Linked DNA regions of Macaca fascicularis. The protein of the gene in region 2 binds, or shares a complex with, the protein of the main gene of each other region. Links are inferred from orthologs where the notes say so. Each region holds a gene or a part of one and is shown on either strand. Other genes may lie near its edges.

The links.
Region 1: the proteins of LTK (region 2) and ALKAL1 are in contact, whole or in part, in a crystal structure (PDB 7NX0), measured with the Homo sapiens proteins. The link is inferred for Macaca fascicularis from reciprocal best matches to the Homo sapiens genes LTK and ALKAL1. Residues at the interface, in NP_002335.2 of Homo sapiens: Tyr124, His140, Phe143, Ala250, Ser251, Pro252, Glu253, Leu359, Phe360, Leu361, Gln362, Leu364, Ala365, Val366, Glu368, Glu372, Glu374, Arg376; in NP_997296.1 of Homo sapiens: His93, Arg96, Leu97, Asn100, Thr101, Arg102, Glu103, Arg112, Arg115, Leu116, Arg119, Leu120, Ser123.

Annotation. Positions count from the first base shown.
Region 1 is NC_088382.1:62,477,971-62,481,536, reverse strand, and holds part of ALKAL1 (ALK and LTK ligand 1), read left to right. Parts: intron 1-165; coding exon 166-219; intron 220-2,723; coding exon 2,724-2,804; intron 2,805-3,566. UniProt on the Homo sapiens protein: Cytokine that acts as a physiological ligand for receptor tyrosine kinase LTK, leading to its activation. Monomeric ALKAL1 binds to LTK, leading to LTK homodimerization and activation.
Region 2 is NC_088381.1:18,073,689-18,077,969, reverse strand, and holds the start of LTK (leukocyte tyrosine kinase receptor), read left to right. Parts: upstream 1-1,429; 5' UTR 1,430-1,574; coding exon 1,575-1,617; intron 1,618-2,163; coding exon 2,164-2,307; intron 2,308-2,405; coding exon 2,406-2,577; intron 2,578-3,002; coding exon 3,003-3,153; intron 3,154-3,305; coding exon 3,306-3,452; exon of another isoform or gene 3,453-3,675; coding exon 3,676-3,832; intron 3,833-3,908; coding exon 3,909-4,091; intron 4,092-4,281. UniProt on the Homo sapiens protein: Receptor with a tyrosine-protein kinase activity. Following activation by ALKAL1 or ALKAL2 ligands at the cell surface, transduces an extracellular signal into an intracellular response.

The DNA.
Region 1 (3,566 bases), on a different chromosome or scaffold from region 2:
AGTTTTTTGTATATTTTAGTAGAGATGGGGTTTCACCGTGTTAGCCAGGAAGGTCTCGATCTCCTGACCTCGTGATCCACCCATCTCGGCCTCCCAAAGTATTAAGGATATTTTTAAATGGGAGAAATGCATTCAAGAAATTCTGAAGGTTTTTTTTCTTTTCAGAAATATTCCCAAGAGATTCTAACTTAAAAGACAAATTCATAAAGCATTTCACAGGTAAGTACAAAATTTATCAGTGATTCTATTAACTAAATAAAAAGAATGTGTACAGGTTACTATGTCAGGCACTAGGAATATGAAAATAAATGTCTGTAAGTGACTCATGGTCCAGTTGGGGAGATGGACGGATGCTACTAACTTGTGTTAACTGTAATGTAAACCAGCCCTTAATAAGTAATAGAAGTATGAACCACTTTTTAAGGATACACAGGAAGTGAATAATGTGACCAAGAACTACCAAGAAAGGCTTGTAGTAGACACAGTATTTAAGGTGGGCTTTAAGGGATGAATAAGGCTTTCCCGTGGTGAGAGAGACCTTCTCTTCAGAAGGAGTGCATTGAGTAAGCCATGAAGGCACAGGGTGTGGTTTAGGCAAGGACAGGTATGCATGGACTGTGGGTGGGCTTAGGTATGTGGGGCGTATGTGGCCCTGGTCAAGTATATGGCTGGAAAGGTAGCTTGGAGTCACGTTGTGGATAATCTTAAATGGCATGCTGGGGAATTCAGACTATGTTCCCCAGTCTGGTGAGGGGTAGGGAGAGAGGGGGCAATAGAAATGTTTTGAATAGGGAGGGACAGACTTTCATATACTACATCTTTTAAAAATATATTTGTTTATTAATTATTATTATTATTTTCTGAGACAGAGTTTCGCTCTTGTTGCCCAGGCTGGTGTGCAGTGGCGTGATCTCGGCTCACTGCAACCTCCGCCTCCCGGTTCAAGCAATTCTCCTGCCTCAGCCTCCCAAATAGCTGGGATTACAGGCATGCACCACCATGCCTGGCTACTTTTTTGTATTTTTAGTAGAGATGGGGTTTCACCATGTTGGTCAGGCTGGTGTCAAACTCCTGGCCTAAGCGATCCGCCCGCTTCGGCCTCCAAGTGTGAGCCACCGCGCCAGGTCAAAAATTTTTTATTTTTGAGACAGGGTCTGATTCCATCACTCAGGTTGGAGTTCAGTGGTGAGATCATGGCTCACTGCAGCCTTGAACAAATAGGCTCAAGGGATCCTCCCACCTCAGCCTCCGAAGTAGCTGAGACTACTGTGCCATCACACCCAGCTAATTTTTTATTTTCTTTAGAGATGGGGTCTCACTATGTTGCCCAGGTTGGTCTTGAACTCCTAGCTCAAGTGATCCTCCTGCCTTGGCCTCCCAAAGCATTGGGATTATAGTTGTGAGCCACTGCACCAGGCCCACCTGCCACATCGTAAGCACAGATAAATACTGTCCCATGACACTGTTTTGTTCTTCCTATCAACTTTGTGAATCATTTGCACATCATCCTATGCCCCAATTTCTAGCAAATCACTGAATTATTGTGAACAGTACACCCCCATATTTACTATTGGCATTACCTCTCTGTTCCCAGTCATCCCAGCTACTTTTTTTTCTTTTACACCTCAGGCCTGTGATGTGGGAAAGATGTGGTTTGCCCACTTAGTCAAGTCCAAGGGCCCTACCTGTTTATTAACAGAAAGGATGGTCCTCAGGATCAAGTGGAGATGCACCTGCAGGGCACAGGGATGTGTGGGGATGTTGAGCCTTTTGAGGCAGCTGTTAGTGACATGACTGTGGACCCCACGAGAAGCAGACACCAGAGGGACGGAGGGATGAACATTTTGTTGTTGTTGTTGTTCTGTGTGTTTTTTTTTTTTTTTTTTTTTTTTAAGAGATAGGGTCTTACTCTGTTGCTCAGGCTGGAGTGCAGTGGTGCAGTCATAGCTCACTGTAGCCTCCAACTCCTGGGCTCAAGGATCCTTCTGCCTCAGCCTCTACAGTAACTGAACTGGGACTACAGGTGTGTGCTGCCATGCCTGGCTAATTTTTTATTTTTATTTTTTGCAGAGACAGGGTCTCACTATGGTGCTTAGGCTGTTCTTGAACTCCTGAGCTCAAGTGATCCTCCTGCCTTGGCCTCCCAAAGTGCTGGGATTGCAGACGTGAGCCACTACTCCCCATCCGGGATGAAAGTCTTGATGGGCCCTACCTTGGATTTAAAGGGAGAGACAAAGGACTTCTCAAGGCCCTGCCCATTCCATTTTACAATTATCCTAGACACTAATACGACACAAATTACTATAATTAGAAAATGGAATAAATGTCTTGGCATGTAAACATTAATTGCTTTAGATAAAAACAGAAAGTAGAAACCAAAGATACTTATTTTTTGTACTTCTCATGCACTCAATTTGCTCTCTACAGTCTTTTTATTTTCTGTCCAGAACTTTTTCCTTTTAATTTTTCTACATAGTTGTACTACATGTGAAGATTCCATTATGTGAGATGTTGAGAATGTGGAATGAATTTAGATTATTTTTCATAGACCACAACTCTACCTCCCACAGAGCCTGGGTGGGGGAAGAGCTCTCAGGCATGTTCTTTTAAGGGCATGGAAGTATGTAAAGTGCTGTTATATTATGTCCACTCATAAAGTGCTAGGAAATTTGTTTGGAAAACATGCCTATGTTTATAATAAGCATTCTTTTCCTGTGCTCTAGGGCCAGTCACATTTTCACCAGAATGCAGCAAACATTTCCACCGACTCTATTACAATACCAGGGAGTGCTCAACACCAGCTTGTAAGTAACTTGGGTGGGTTTTTTTTTAAAAAAATTATCCAACAATAAATGTGTGTAATTTTAAACTTCAAATGTCTGTGGATGGGAAGAAGTAGACTAACCATTGACATTCTATTTATAACACTGATTTATAACACTGACAGTACCTAAGGTTTGTGTGTACTGTTGCTGTAAGGAATGAAACCATATTCTAATTGGGAATCTATTCAAATCTGATAATAGCCAGATTTCCTTAAAGACCAAAGTGTTTGTTAGGATTTAAACATTTTATCATGATTCAAATTCTTTGACATAAATAGGGTGCTGTCTCAAATAAATGAAAAAAAAAAATGAGATGACTGCGAACTCTAAGTAAAAATTTTTTCCTAAGTTATTTTAAAGTAAATATTTTTTATATCACATCATTTATATAATGATGCTGGATTTTTCTGAGTAATGATAGCATGTAAAAGTTGCTATAATGAATTCTTTTGGATACTTAAGTTACTGAAGTTAATAATAATTCTAAACATAATATTTAAGCACTATCATTTAAAGTGCCAAAATTATGACTATGTGTGGTAACTCCGTTTGCTGTTTCTAAATTCCTTTCTAAGCCTCAACTTTCCTTTTAAAGAACATGAATTCTAAGCATTTTGTTTCTTTTTAACTAGATTGCTCATCTTGAGGAGTATTGACTTTTACTCAGCATATTAAGTTGTATTTGTTATAATGTTTTTCAAAAACAACTTGTGTTTAGGCCGGGTGGGATGGCTCACGACT
Region 2 (4,281 bases):
GGCCCCAATAGGTTTTATTAAGCAACTACTGTATCAGCAAATACCAATGATTCTCAAACTTTGTGACAAAAATCACCTGGATGGTATTTTAAAAAGGATAACTGGGCCCTACCACCAGAAGCTGCTGATTCAGTACGTCTGGGGTGAAACCCAAGAATCTGCATTTCTAACAAGTTCCCAGGTGATACTGATGCTGATATTCAGAACCAACTACACAACCACAATTTGAAGAGCAGTGGCCTAAAGAGGCCTTGCAAGGTAAATTCCGTGATCTCATAGTGATAACTAGGGAATAGAGACCAGGAGGTTTTTTTGTTTTTTGTTTGTTTTGTTGAGACGGAGTCTCACTATGTCGCCCAGGCTGGAGTGCAGTGGTGCAATCTTGGCTCACTGCAACCTCCGCCTTCCGGGTTCAAGCAATTCTCTGCCTCAGCCTCCCGAGTAGCTGGGATTACAGGCGTGCACTACCACGCCTGGCTAATTTTGTATTTTTAGTAGAGATGGGGTTTTGCCATGTTGGTCTATCTAGTCTCAAACTTCTGACCTCAGGTGATCTGCCTGCCTCGGCCTCCCAAAGTGCTAGGATTATAGGCATGAGCCACTGCACCCGGCCCTCAAGTTAGAATTTTAAGCAAATGATCGAAGACTCAAGACACAAAACTACCTGAAAGGAGTGGCTCCCACATTTGTAGGGTACCTTGTAGCTTACAGAGCAATTTCCCTTCATATGATTTTGCAGGTGGTGGGGAAACTCTCAGAGCAATTGTGGCCTGTGCTACATCACCCATTTACCAGAGGTGCTAGTACTAGTGCTCAAGATCAATCGATCGATCGATCTGTCTACCTATCATCTATCGTCCTTCAGTGCTACTAAAAGCACTCAGATCTTCTAACGTCTGGTCCAGTCTTTTACCCCATCACAGTGAGAAGCTGTGCACAGGGGTAACACGGGCAACGGAATTATATTAGGCAAACACAGAGATCCAGGTTTCTGGGGGTAGCAGGGAGGTTCAGCCTTGCAGTCACAAAGGCACCACTGAAAGGCACAAGTAATGGCAGGTGATGAGGCCTTACTTGGGGCAGTTTAGAGAGTACTTCCCACGTGTGATGACATGTGCCACACACCCACCACCACCACTACCACAAATGAAGTGCACACTCCGCCGCTCCTGTCCTCAGGAACCTGGAAGCCCCCACCTGGTGTCCGAGGTGTAGCTCCCGCTTTAAGAGTGGGGCACCTCCTCTCCGGCCTCAAACCTACCCCAGCTCCCAGCAGGCTGCGGCACATCTGACGGCTGGAGACTAGAGCCCCTGGGTGGGGACTCCTTAAGGCTCCTCCCGGAAGCGTAGGGACCTCGCTGCCCACACGCCCCTCCCTTTCCTCCTCTGGCGTCCTGGGGTCTGAGGTGGGCGTGGCCAGGCCGGCTTTAGGTCCAGGGAGTGTCTCGCCGGCCGCAGCACACCCCTGTAAGTGGCGGCCAGGGCTGCGGTGGCCAAGTGAGCTGTCAACTTCAGGTTGACAGGGGTGTGGCCACGACCGCAAGGGCTGTTGTTGCCGGGTGGACCTAACAGGGATGGGACGCTGGGGCCGGCTGCTGGTGTGGTTCAGAGCTGTGGGTAAGTGCTGTCTGGCGGTCAGGGGACCGTCCAGCCAAAGGCACCTTCCTAGGCTTGTGGGTGGCCGGTCGCAACAGGCCAGGTGTCGGTGGTTCCTCCAGAGGCCTCGAACTCTCACAACCACATTTCTCCGGTCCGTGCTTCTGGAGTGCGGGCGGAGAAGTGCCAAGTAGTGCGAATCCCAGAGTCTGGATCACGCAGCTTGGGAAGGAGGAATATTCTTTGGGGTCTCAGCACTGCCTTGGGGCGGGGCAACCAATCTAAGTCGAGGAAAGTATTGGAGAGGCTGCAGGACCAAATTCAGTGCAGCCCCTAAGTTATTCTCTGGGAAGGGCGGTCGAGGAGAGAAACTGGTAGAGCGATCAGCGAGCACCCGCGGGGCTTCTGCGACCGGAGTCGGGTAGTGGCTTCCAGGCTGAGAGGGGGGCTGGGCAGGGTGAGGGGTGTGGCCGCGACCGCAAGGGCAGCTGTTGCGGGGTTCTCTCTTTCTTTTATTTCCTATTTCCACCCGCCTTAATGTCCTGCGCCTCTCCCAACACCTTTCAGGCGCCATTCTCTGCTCTAGCCCGGGGTCCCAGGAGCCTTTTCAGCCGTCCTCACCCCTGCCGCTGGCAAGTCCCGGCCCCCAGGACCCGAAAGTCAGCGCCCCGCCTAGCATCTTGGAGCCAGCCTCCCAGCTGAATTCTCTGGGTGAGCTTTAGGCGCCTCCTTCCTCTTCCGCTCACCACACCAGACCCCTCTGGCCCAGCCAGGGGCTCGACGACCCTTGCCTCACTCCTTGCTCTCAGGCACCGAGGGGTCCTGGCTGTTTTCTACCTGCGGGGCCAGCGGCCGGCATGGGCCCACACAGACACAATGTGATGGGGCCTACGCGGGGACCAGCGTGGTGGTGACCGTGGGGGCCGCCGGGCAGCTGAGAGGCGTGCAGCTGTGGCGCGTGCCGGGCCCTGGCCAGTATCTGTAAGTGCGGGGAGGGGGTAGGGTGGGCAGTGACCTGCTAGTTGGAGGTTTCACCGTCAGGGGAACGAAGGCTACTTGCGCACCGCCTTGTGTCTCGGAGTATTCCGCAGAGAGGTCCACCTTGAGTGCCCTTCAAGGTGGCAATAGTTGCCACCGAGTTAGCCCTGACCCGGACCCTCTTACACCGAGTGGAAGGCCCCCAACCAGGGCGGCGCCAAGGGGTACTTGAGCCTCCCCACATTTCCACGAACCCTCCTGAAATAAGTGTAATATCTGAACTTTTGGTGTGCAAACCTGCCCTTTCCATCCCGTCAGAGTCGATTGCAGCCTCCAAGTCCCTCAGATAAAAAATAATTCTGGAGCCTTCTCTGTTGCCAACTTCTGTTAGCACCGAGGGCCGGGGACTCACCGACCGCTCCCCGCAGGATCTCAGCCTACGGAGCCGCGGGCGGCAAAGGCGCCAAGAACCACCTGTCGCGGGCGCATGGCGTCTTCGTCTCAGCAATCTTCTCCCTCGGTCTCGGGGAGTCGCTGTACATCCTGGTGGGGCAGCAGGGAGAGGACGCCTGTCCCGGAGTGAGCGCAGCCAGTGGGGATGGGGCGGCGCCGGCGCCGCGGGGCGAGGGCTGCCTGGGGGCCTGGGGAGCGTGCTTTCCTCGGTGCCGGGTCACCAGCACAGCGAGGGGAGACTCCCGGGCCCCGCCGATTCCCGCCCCCGCTGCCCGCAGGGTAGCCCGGAGAGCCAGCTCGTCTGCCTCGGGGAGTCTCGAGCTGTTGAAGAGCACGCGGCGATGGATGGGAGCGAAGAGGTCCCAGGGTCGCGGCGCTGGGCGGGAGGCGGCGGGGGTGGCGGGGGCGCCACCTACGTTTTCCGGGTACGTGCTCCCTTCAGCGCTCAGCGTGGGGGTCCTAATCCTCTCCCCAGGGTCGCGCACGCACCCGCGCTCCGTCCGTCCGTTGGGGTCCCCCTATACCTGAGCTGGGCTGGGCTGGGGGCCCCTGCCCTTATCCGGGCCTCCGGGGCGGGAGCCCTCGCCCAGTGGCAGTGCCCCTGGACGGCTGGAGGGCGCGTCCTGGAACACGCCGCTGGTCCCACAGGTGCGCGCCGGAGAGCTGGAACCGCTGCTGGTGGCGGCCGGAGGCGGCGGTCGGGCCTACCTGAGGCCGCGGGACCGAGGCCGGACTCAGGCCGCCCCCGAGAAACTGGAGAACCGCTCGGAGGCGCCCGGAAGCGGCGGGACAGGCGGGGCGGCAGGTGAGGGCGCGGGGCTGTGGGGAGAGGCGGGCGTGCTCCCCGTGTGGCTGCCAACCTTCCTGCTGTCACTCTGCAGGTGGTGGGGGCGGCTGGACGTCGCGGGCTCCCTCTCCGCAGGCCGGCCGCTCACTGCAGGAGGGGGCGGAGGGCGGCCAGGGCTGCTCCGAGGCTTGGGCGACCCTTGGTTGGGCCGCGGCTGGCGGCTTCGGGGGCGGCGGCGGGGCCTGCACTGCGGGCGGAGGCGGCGGCGGCTATCGGGGTAGGTGCACCGTTGGAGAGGGCACCTGAGCAGGCCCGAGGGTGAGGTGATGTTAGAAACTCAGTACAGGCCGGAGCCCTCAGGAGGATAGGTGTGGGAGAGGCATTAAGCCCTTCTCAGCAGCTCCAGGCAAAGCAGGAGCTCTTAGAAAAGGAGGTCGAATATATTGCAAATCAGCATGCAGACAAGA